Callithrix jacchus: one gene and its partner. The protein of the gene in region 1 purifies or fractionates together with the protein of each later gene. This does not show direct contact. Links are inferred from orthologs where the notes say so. Each region holds a gene or a part of one and is shown on either strand. Other genes may lie near its edges. The genes, in order: RAB5B and GDI1.

Evidence for each region.
Region 2: the proteins of RAB5B (region 1) and GDI1 purify together in Homo sapiens (affinity purification with mass spectrometry; 3 studies listed by BioGRID and IntAct, counting the BioPlex papers as one, with this or other methods). This does not show direct contact. The link is inferred for Callithrix jacchus from reciprocal best matches to the Homo sapiens genes RAB5B and GDI1.

What each region holds. Positions count from the first base shown.
Region 1 is NC_133510.1:63,689,977-63,693,784, reverse strand, and holds part of RAB5B (ras-related protein Rab-5B), read left to right. Parts: intron 1-2,430; exon of another isoform or gene 2,431-2,583; intron 2,584-3,347; 5' UTR 3,348-3,439; coding exon 3,440-3,602; intron 3,603-3,808. UniProt on the Homo sapiens protein: The small GTPases Rab are key regulators of intracellular membrane trafficking, from the formation of transport vesicles to their fusion with membranes.
Region 2 is NC_133524.1:150,231,843-150,236,178, forward strand, and holds the start of GDI1 (rab GDP dissociation inhibitor alpha), read left to right. Parts: upstream 1-1,249; 5' UTR 1,250-1,332; coding exon 1,333-1,377; intron 1,378-2,587; coding exon 2,588-2,695; intron 2,696-2,820; coding exon 2,821-2,920; intron 2,921-3,029; coding exon 3,030-3,164; intron 3,165-3,650; coding exon 3,651-3,849; intron 3,850-4,107; coding exon 4,108-4,239; intron 4,240-4,336. Other genes in the region: ATP6AP1 (V-type proton ATPase subunit S1), read left to right, coding at 1-68. UniProt on the Homo sapiens protein: Regulates the GDP/GTP exchange reaction of most Rab proteins by inhibiting the dissociation of GDP from them, and the subsequent binding of GTP to them. Promotes the dissociation of GDP-bound Rab proteins from the membrane and inhibits their activation.

The DNA of each region.
Region 1 (3,808 bases):
TTTCATCCAGAAGTGCTTGAGTAGTAACCATAGCTATAGACTGTTCAGAAACTGAATTTATTTCCATCCCTACTACCCCATCTTTCAGTGTCAGCTCTCTCTAAAGCAATGTTTTTAAAACTTTTTTTCTTAAATGATAACTCATAGTTTGAAAAAAATGAATAAATAGTTTAAAGAATAACTGATTGCCGGGCATGGTAGCTCATACCTGTAATCCCAGCACTTTGGGAGGCCAAGGCAGGTGGATCATGAGGTCAGGCGTTCAAGACCAGCCTGACTGACATGGTGAAACCCCATCTCTACTAAAAATACAAAAATTAGCCAGGCATGGTGGTGCGTGCCTATAATCCCAGCTACTTGGGAGGTTGAGGCAGGAGAATCGCTTGAACCCAGGAGGTAGAGGTTGCAGTGAGCAGAGATAATATAAATATATACGTACATATTTATTTATTTATTTAGAGACAGAGTCTCACTCTGTGGCCCAAGCTGGAGTGCAGTGGTGCAATCATAGCTCACTATAATCTTCAACTCCAGGGCTCAGGTGATTTATCACAGCCTCTGGAGTAGCTGGGATTACAGGCGTGTACCACCATGCCCAGCTAATTTTAAAAAATGTTTTGTAGGCTGGGCACAGTGGCTCACACCTGTAATCTCAGCACTTTTGGAGGCCAAGGCGGGTGGATCACGAGGTCAGGAGATTGAGACCATCCTGGCCAACGTGGTGAAATCCCATCTCTGCTAAATAAAAAAAATTAGCCAGGGGTGATGGTGAACGCCTATAATCCCAGCTACTTGGGAGGCTAAGGCAGGAGAATCACTTGAACCTGGGAGGCAGAGGTTGCAGTGAGCCGAAATCGCGCCACCGTGCTCCAACCTGGTGACAGAGCGAGACTCCAGCTCACAACAAAAAATGTTTTATAGAAACTCAGTCTTGCTGTGTTGCCAGGCTGGTCTCAAACTCCTCACCTCAAGCAATCCTTTCACTTTTATCTCCCAACCCCTGGGATTACAGGCATGAGCTGCTGTGCCAGGCCTGTTTTTTCTCTTTTTCTTTCTCTGTACCACTTTCATGTAGCTGCTGCCCCCACCCCCAGAAAGAGTCTTGCTCTGTTACCCAGGTTGAAGTGCAATGACAGGATCTCGGCTCACAGCAGCCTCCACCTCCCAGGTTCAAGCAGTTCTCCTGCCTCAGTCTCCCTAGTAGCTGGGATTACAGGCGCCCACCACCACACCTGGCTAAATTTTTTTTTCCTTTTTTTTGAGATGAAGTCTCGCTCTGTCATCAGGCTGGAGTGCAGTGGCATGATCTTGGCTCACTGCAACCTTCGTCTCCTGGGATCAACTGAATCTCTTGCCCCAGCCTCCCAGCTGGCTGGGACTATAGGCATGTGCCACCACACCCAGCTAATTTTTATATTTTTAGTAGAGATGGGGTTTCACCACGTTGGCCAGGTTGGTCTCGAACTGACCTCAGGTGTTCAAGGTCAGGTGATCCACCTGCCTCAGCCTACCAAAGTGCTGGGATTATAGATGTGAGCCACCATGCCTAGCCTGTGGCAGCTTTTTAGGAATATATTGATAACAACTACTATTGATATATATTTTAATAGCTATTATTATTGGAACTATGCTAAGCATGTCTTTCGCTTAATTTTTGTAGCTATGAGGATGGTATTTTTTCCATTTTACAAAGATAGAAAGTAAGGCTTAGAGAAATAGAGAAATTTTCTTTATGTCATATGATTAGTAGTTTAATATTTATTTAGTACTTAGTATATATCAAATACTTAAGTTATTTATATGTATGATCTCATGTAATCTTTATGATACCTTTATGAAGTAGGTGCGTATAAGACTGTTACCTCATTTTACAGATGAGGAAATGAATGCACACATACATTTAGTGACTTACCCAAGGTTCATAGCTAATAAGTAAAACTGGAAAACAAACCCAGAGAATTGGACTCCAGAACATTTGTTCCTCTGCATTGCCTCCTGTATGATTTACTGTCTTTACTATCTAGTAAGTGGGATTACTGAAATTTTTTAACCCCAGTTTAACTCCAAACCCACTAATTGTGACAAAATAATAATGTTTCCCCATATGCCATAGAGTATGATGTCTCTTAAGTCACTAGGATCAGCTTTGGAAAAGGGAAATATTAATTTGAACAAGCAAAGTACAACTGTCAAGCAGTGCTTACCTTTGGGAGAGAGATTTTTGCATGCTCTGCCCATGCTAACTCCCCTTTGAATTTATAGCTCCTTTCCGCTCAGAGTCATGATGATGAAATATATTCAGATTTAGATGATTAGAATCTCCAAGTCCCAACTCTCTGTTCCCTGCCCCACCAGCAGCTTTCTTAGCCCTCTTAGAAGATGAGGGAGTTGATTCAGTATATTCTTTCATCAAATATTGATTGCTTTCAGACTTACCCCTATACCATCCTCTGGAGATTCCTGCATGTGTTGAGAAAGTATACCTTCCTCTGCCTCTAATTTGGAGAGCTACAGCTATTAGGCCTCTTTGGTGTGGAGGGTAATCTAATCCCTAGGCACCAGCAAGACAGCTGCAAGTTGACGGTAGGTCAAGTTTACTGACTCTCAGACTTGATAGTCTTTCAGATTTGAAAAGAGGGCAGAAACAGTGAAAAAAATGTTGTTAATGAAACAGTTGATAATGAATATAATGGGTTGGTTGTATTTCTTTCTTTACCTTCAACAAAAAATGAGAAAGGATAGATTTTCTGTCAATGGGACCCTGGTTAGATCTTTAGAAATGTCTTATCAGGCAGACCAGTCATATATGAAGGATATAGCAGCAGCTATATAGCACCCTTAGAAGGGGTGACCTCTTATCCCACAACCCTAGAGTGAATCTCTCATTCTCACAATAGAGCTAAAAGAAAAAGAAGAACACAGCACCAGGATGCCAAGGAGATACTGGGAATCTAGTGTACCTGTGGGTGGATCTGGATATTCTTCAGGCCAACCAAAGGTTGATCAGTTTGTGTGACTCAAACAAAAAATCTTAAAGACCTGGTGGGAAATTACTAGGGAATTAAAATCTCTCAGTTTTCAGTCTCTCTATTTCAGGTCCCTTGGCAGTTAGAGATTATGTGATAGGGCAAACTCTAGAAGCAGTTCTTATTTTGCTGTTCCCAACTCTTAGAACTGAGTATCAGCTGCCCAGGACCTTCTCAGAGGTATAACCTGTCAATAGTGGATGATTGCAAGAGCTAAGTCCTCATAGGAGCAAGGAGATGAAGAGATTCTATGATTTCTCTAAAAAGCAATTGCAGTTCATTGGACCTATGTCTAATTTTATATACTTGTTTTTCTTGCAGGACTGTTGAAGCCTGGAAATCCCCTCCCCTTCCCCCTCCCCCCTTTACGGCATCCCCCTCCCTCCACCCTTTCCTACTCTGATAATCTGGCCATGACTAGCAGAAGCACAGCTAGGCCCAATGGGCAACCCCAGGCCAGCAAAATATGCCAGTTCAAATTGGTCCTGCTGGGAGAATCTGCAGTGGGAAAGTCAAGCCTGGTATTACGTTTTGTCAAAGGGCAGTTCCACGAGTACCAGGAGAGCACCATTGGAGGTGAGTGCCTTGGGGTAAGAGGATATTCAATGCTTGGTAAGGCTTTTTTCTTTTTCTTTTCTTTTTTTGAGATGGAGTCTCACTCTGTCTCCCAGGCTGGAGTGCAGTGGCGATCTCAGCTCACTGCAACCTCCATCTCCCTGGTTCAAGTGATTATTGTGCCTCAGCCTCCCGAGTAGCTGGGATTATAGGTACACACCACCACA
Region 2 (4,336 bases), on another chromosome or scaffold:
GCCTCAAGACCATGGATCGCTTTGATGACCACAAGGGCCCCACCATTTCTTTGACCCAGATTGTGTGACCCTGTGCCAGGAGGGGGTTGAGGGTGGGACAGTGTCCCTCTTCCTACCACAGCATGAACCCCAAGCTCCCTTTAGCCCATCTTGCTCCCCGTTCAGCCCACTAAGGAGATTTCCTGGGGCTGCCCCCATCCCTACCAACAAGGTGTACATAATTCTGCGTAGATGCTAGACCAATGTCCCAGGCTCAGCCGCGGTGAGGCGTAAGGGACATGAATTCTAGGGTCCCCTTTCTCCTTATTTATTGTGTCTACATCATCCCTGGCTGTGGATAGTGCTTTTATGTAGCAAATGCTCTCTCCTTAAGGTTATGGGGCTCCCTGAGTTTGGGGGTGTGGAGGTACTACTTAACTGTCTGACCTGCTTTGCTGTCGTTATTGTTTTCTGGTGATGCTGTGCTAATGATAAGCAGTACACTGGGGTTTATTTCTGTGGCCTGAGAAGGAAGGGACCTCCACCCCAGGTGGGCTGGGTGCAATCTCCAGCTGTCTGGCATGTTCCCATCGGGAGTGCCTGGCAGGAGCCTGGCGTGCTCGGTTGTTTCCTTCCTAATAAACGCGGATCGCCACGATTTGGGCCTCTTGTAGGTCATTTCTGCACTGGGCTTTAGGTGCGTGCTCGCTGGAGGGATGCGGGAGGATGGAGCCCGGTGAGGAAGAGGTGAGGAAGCATCCGCGGAGACCTGGAGGGGCTTTAGCAGGGTGGGCCCTAACCACTTAGGGCAGGAAGGGGCGGTCGGGCCGAGTCCCGTTACGCTTTGGCGACTCGGGAGGCCGTCGTGACAATGGCAGCCTTCGTATCATGAGGGGGCTGCCCCGGCTGCCGCAGCGGCGCGCACCCGGCCGCGGGACCGCGCCGAGCCTCCCGCGGGGCTGGGCGGGCGCGCGCGGGGCGGGGCGGGGCGGGGAGGATGGGGCGGGGCGCGCGCGGCTCCGCGCACGGATCCTTTCCTAGCCGCAGTACCGGCCGCCAGCCCGCCCCGCCCGCCCCGCCCCGCGCCTCTCTGGACCCTCGGCGAGCAGCGTCGTCCTCGGAGCCGCGCTGGTGCTGTGGCCCGGGCCCTAGCAGGTCTCCTGGGAGGCGAGCTGGGGAAACGGTGGATCTGGCCGGGCGCGGCGGGGCTCGAGAATAGGCGGGACTCTTTGACGAGGCGGAGGGGTCAGGCGGCGACCGAAACGCCGCCATCTTTGGTCCAGTGCTGCGGCGGCGGCGGCGGCGGTGAAGGAGGAGGAGGAGCCGAGCGGGCACTGGCACCGAGGCCTGACCATGGACGAGGAATACGATGTGATCGTGCTGGGGACCGGCCTCACCGTAAGTGCGGCCCCAGGCGCTCTTGGCCCCGTGTCTTGCCCTCGCCACCCCCCGCGATGATGTGGCCGCCGGCCCACCCTCCGGTCACTGCCATCTGATGCGCTCGGCTCTCCAAAAAGCCGGCACCGTGCCCACCCCGCCGCTCCCCGCGCCGCTCCCCCCGCGACGTCGCCTCTGCTTTTTGCTATGACCCCATCTTCCCGAAGGGGCCCCCTTCCTGGCTGCCCGGGTCTGACCCCCGGCACCCTCCCATCTTTCCTACCCCTGTGCCTGCTGGGCCGGAAAATGCACCCCAGCTAAGCCCGGTGCCCCGACCCCGCCCACCCATCGCCCCCACCCATCACGGAATCTCCCCCCCTCCCGCAGGTTGCCCGCACCCATCGCCCGCTTAGCGTCCCTTCCCATCTTGCGCTAATCCCGGTAGGGACAGGGACATGGGGTCAGGGGGCCTCCTCAGGGTGGGCCCTCAGCCCACCTCCTCGTCTTCTGGGGCCAGGGGATCCAGGGAATGTTCCAGAAGGAGCAGCGGTGGGGGCAGTAAGCACATTCCCTCAACCCCACCCCGGTTGCCTATGGAGACCTCAGGCTGAGTAGCATCTGCAGCCTTTGTCCTTGGGCTAGTGACAGTGACGGGTGAGGGTATTTATCTTCCCCTTTTCCCCAAAAACCCCGTTGGCCCGCTCCCCAGAGAGACTCTTCTTTCTCAGTCCAAGCCCAGATGCCCCTCATCAGCAGCAGGGTCTCCCGCCATTTGAAGAAAGATCAGTCCAGGGTGGGGCCTACAATTTCAAGGACTGCGCTAAGCCTTTCTTCACCTCCCTTTCGAGTGTCCTTCGCAGTCCAGCTAGGTCTCGTCTGCGCCTCATTGTGTTTTAACAGCCTTTCTGTGCAGCTCTGCGTAGATACATGTCCATTGGCTTGTGGGTACTGGAAGGCCATCCTGTGTCTGCTGGATGCCCTGCCTCTCTCAGAGCCTCCATTATTTCACTGCCTACCTTGTGAGGGGGATGGGACTCCTTTGCCCAGCAAGGTTACAAAGGAGACGGTGGTCAGATGAAGCTGTCACCCCAATTTTAGGCGAGGCAACTAGCTGGTTTGAGGGGGTGGAAGGAGCTGTCCACTGGATCAGGTTTGGGTGGGGAACAAATCAGGGCTGCTGGTAGGAAGGGAGGCAGGTAGGAGTGAGAGGATGGTATTGCCCTCCCTCCAGGAATGCATCCTGTCGGGCATCATGTCTGTGAACGGGAAGAAGGTGCTGCACATGGACCGGAACCCCTACTATGGGGGTGAGAGCTCCTCCATCACACCCCTGGAGGAGGTGAGACATCTGGGCCCAGGCCCATCCCTGTTCACCTCCCACGTAGCGGCACAGGGTAGAAGAAGCTCCCCAGGTGCCTGGAGCAGGAGGAGATGGTCCCTGAGGTGTCTCTCTTCTGCTTACAGCTGTATAAGCGTTTTCAGTTGCTGGAGGGGCCCCCTGAGTCGATGGGCCGAGGCCGAGACTGGAACGTTGACCTCATTCCCAAATTCCTCATGGCTAACGGTGAGGGACAGGAAGGACATATTGCAGGTCGGGGTGATGGGGAGGTGCAGCCAGACCAGCAGAGACTCTGGAGAGAGCAGTGCCGATGTTGCCCCATGCACACCCACAGGGCAGCTGGTAAAGATGCTACTGTATACAGAGGTGACTCGCTATCTGGACTTCAAGGTGGTGGAGGGCAGCTTTGTCTACAAGGGGGGCAAGATCTACAAAGTACCGTCCACTGAGACTGAGGCCTTGGCTTCCAGTGAGTGTGGGCCCCCTGAGCCAGAGAATCATGGGGTGGCAGGGAAGTTGACTGTCCTTGGGATGGGTGGCTGTCCAGAGTAAGGCACCCCCTTGTCCAAAGTCACATTCCCCATGAAGAACCAGAGGCCCTTCACTCTGTATCCTCTCTGCCCCATGCCATGCCTCACGGATGGCTGCCAGGAGAGAGGCCTACACGCAGCAGGGATGTGACGTGGAGGAGGACAGGGCTCCTTTGGAAAGACTTGACCTTTTGGCAGGGGCTCCACTGGATCCCCGAGACATCCCCAAATGTCCGAGCAAGGAAGGCCCTTAGAGCCATCCAGGCCAGTCCCCTCTTCATAGAGGCAGGGAAACCGAGGCTGAAAAGAGCGGAGGGGTTGAGCTAAGGTCCCACAACAGCTACACTGGGAGTGGGGCCCTGCCCTTTGGGAAGGAGAGTTTTGTGCTGCGCTGGTGCAGAACCTCGTCCTGCCGCCTGCCTTAGATCTGATGGGCATGTTTGAGAAACGGCGCTTCCGCAAGTTCCTGGTGTTTGTGGCAAACTTCGATGAGAATGACCCCAAGACCTTTGAGGGTGTTGACCCTCAGACTACCAGCATGCGTGATGTCTACCGAAAGTTTGATCTGGGCCAGGATGTCATCGATTTCACTGGCCACGCCCTGGCGCTCTACCGCACTGATGAGTGAGGGAAGCTGGTGTGGCGGCAGCCCCCTCGCCCGGCCTGCCTCCTCCCTCCCCACACCTGCCTGCTGTTCCCCTGCCCCGCATGTCTCTTGTACTCAGCCATAGGCTCACCTATCACCCTTTCCATTTCCCCCTTGCATTTGATCTTCATGTTCCCTAGGCCATTCAGGGTGGTGGGAAGACTGGCCTGGTACCTGGGTGGTGGTGAGTCAAGGGTGCTGCTATTGGAGCATCTTCCCTTACCCCTGTCCCCCAGCTACTTGGACCAGCCCTGTCTTGAGACCATCAACCGCATCAAGTTGTACAGTGAGTCCCTGGCCCGGTATGGCAAGAGCCCGTATTTATACCCGCTTTACGGCCTGGGTGAGCTGCCTCAGGGTTTTGCAAGGTGAGGACGTGGGTTTTTTCAGTTGGCATTGGCTGAGTAGGACTAGGGCCAGGAGTGGAGCTGGCCCCTTGAGCATTTCCCTGCTAGCATTGGTCTT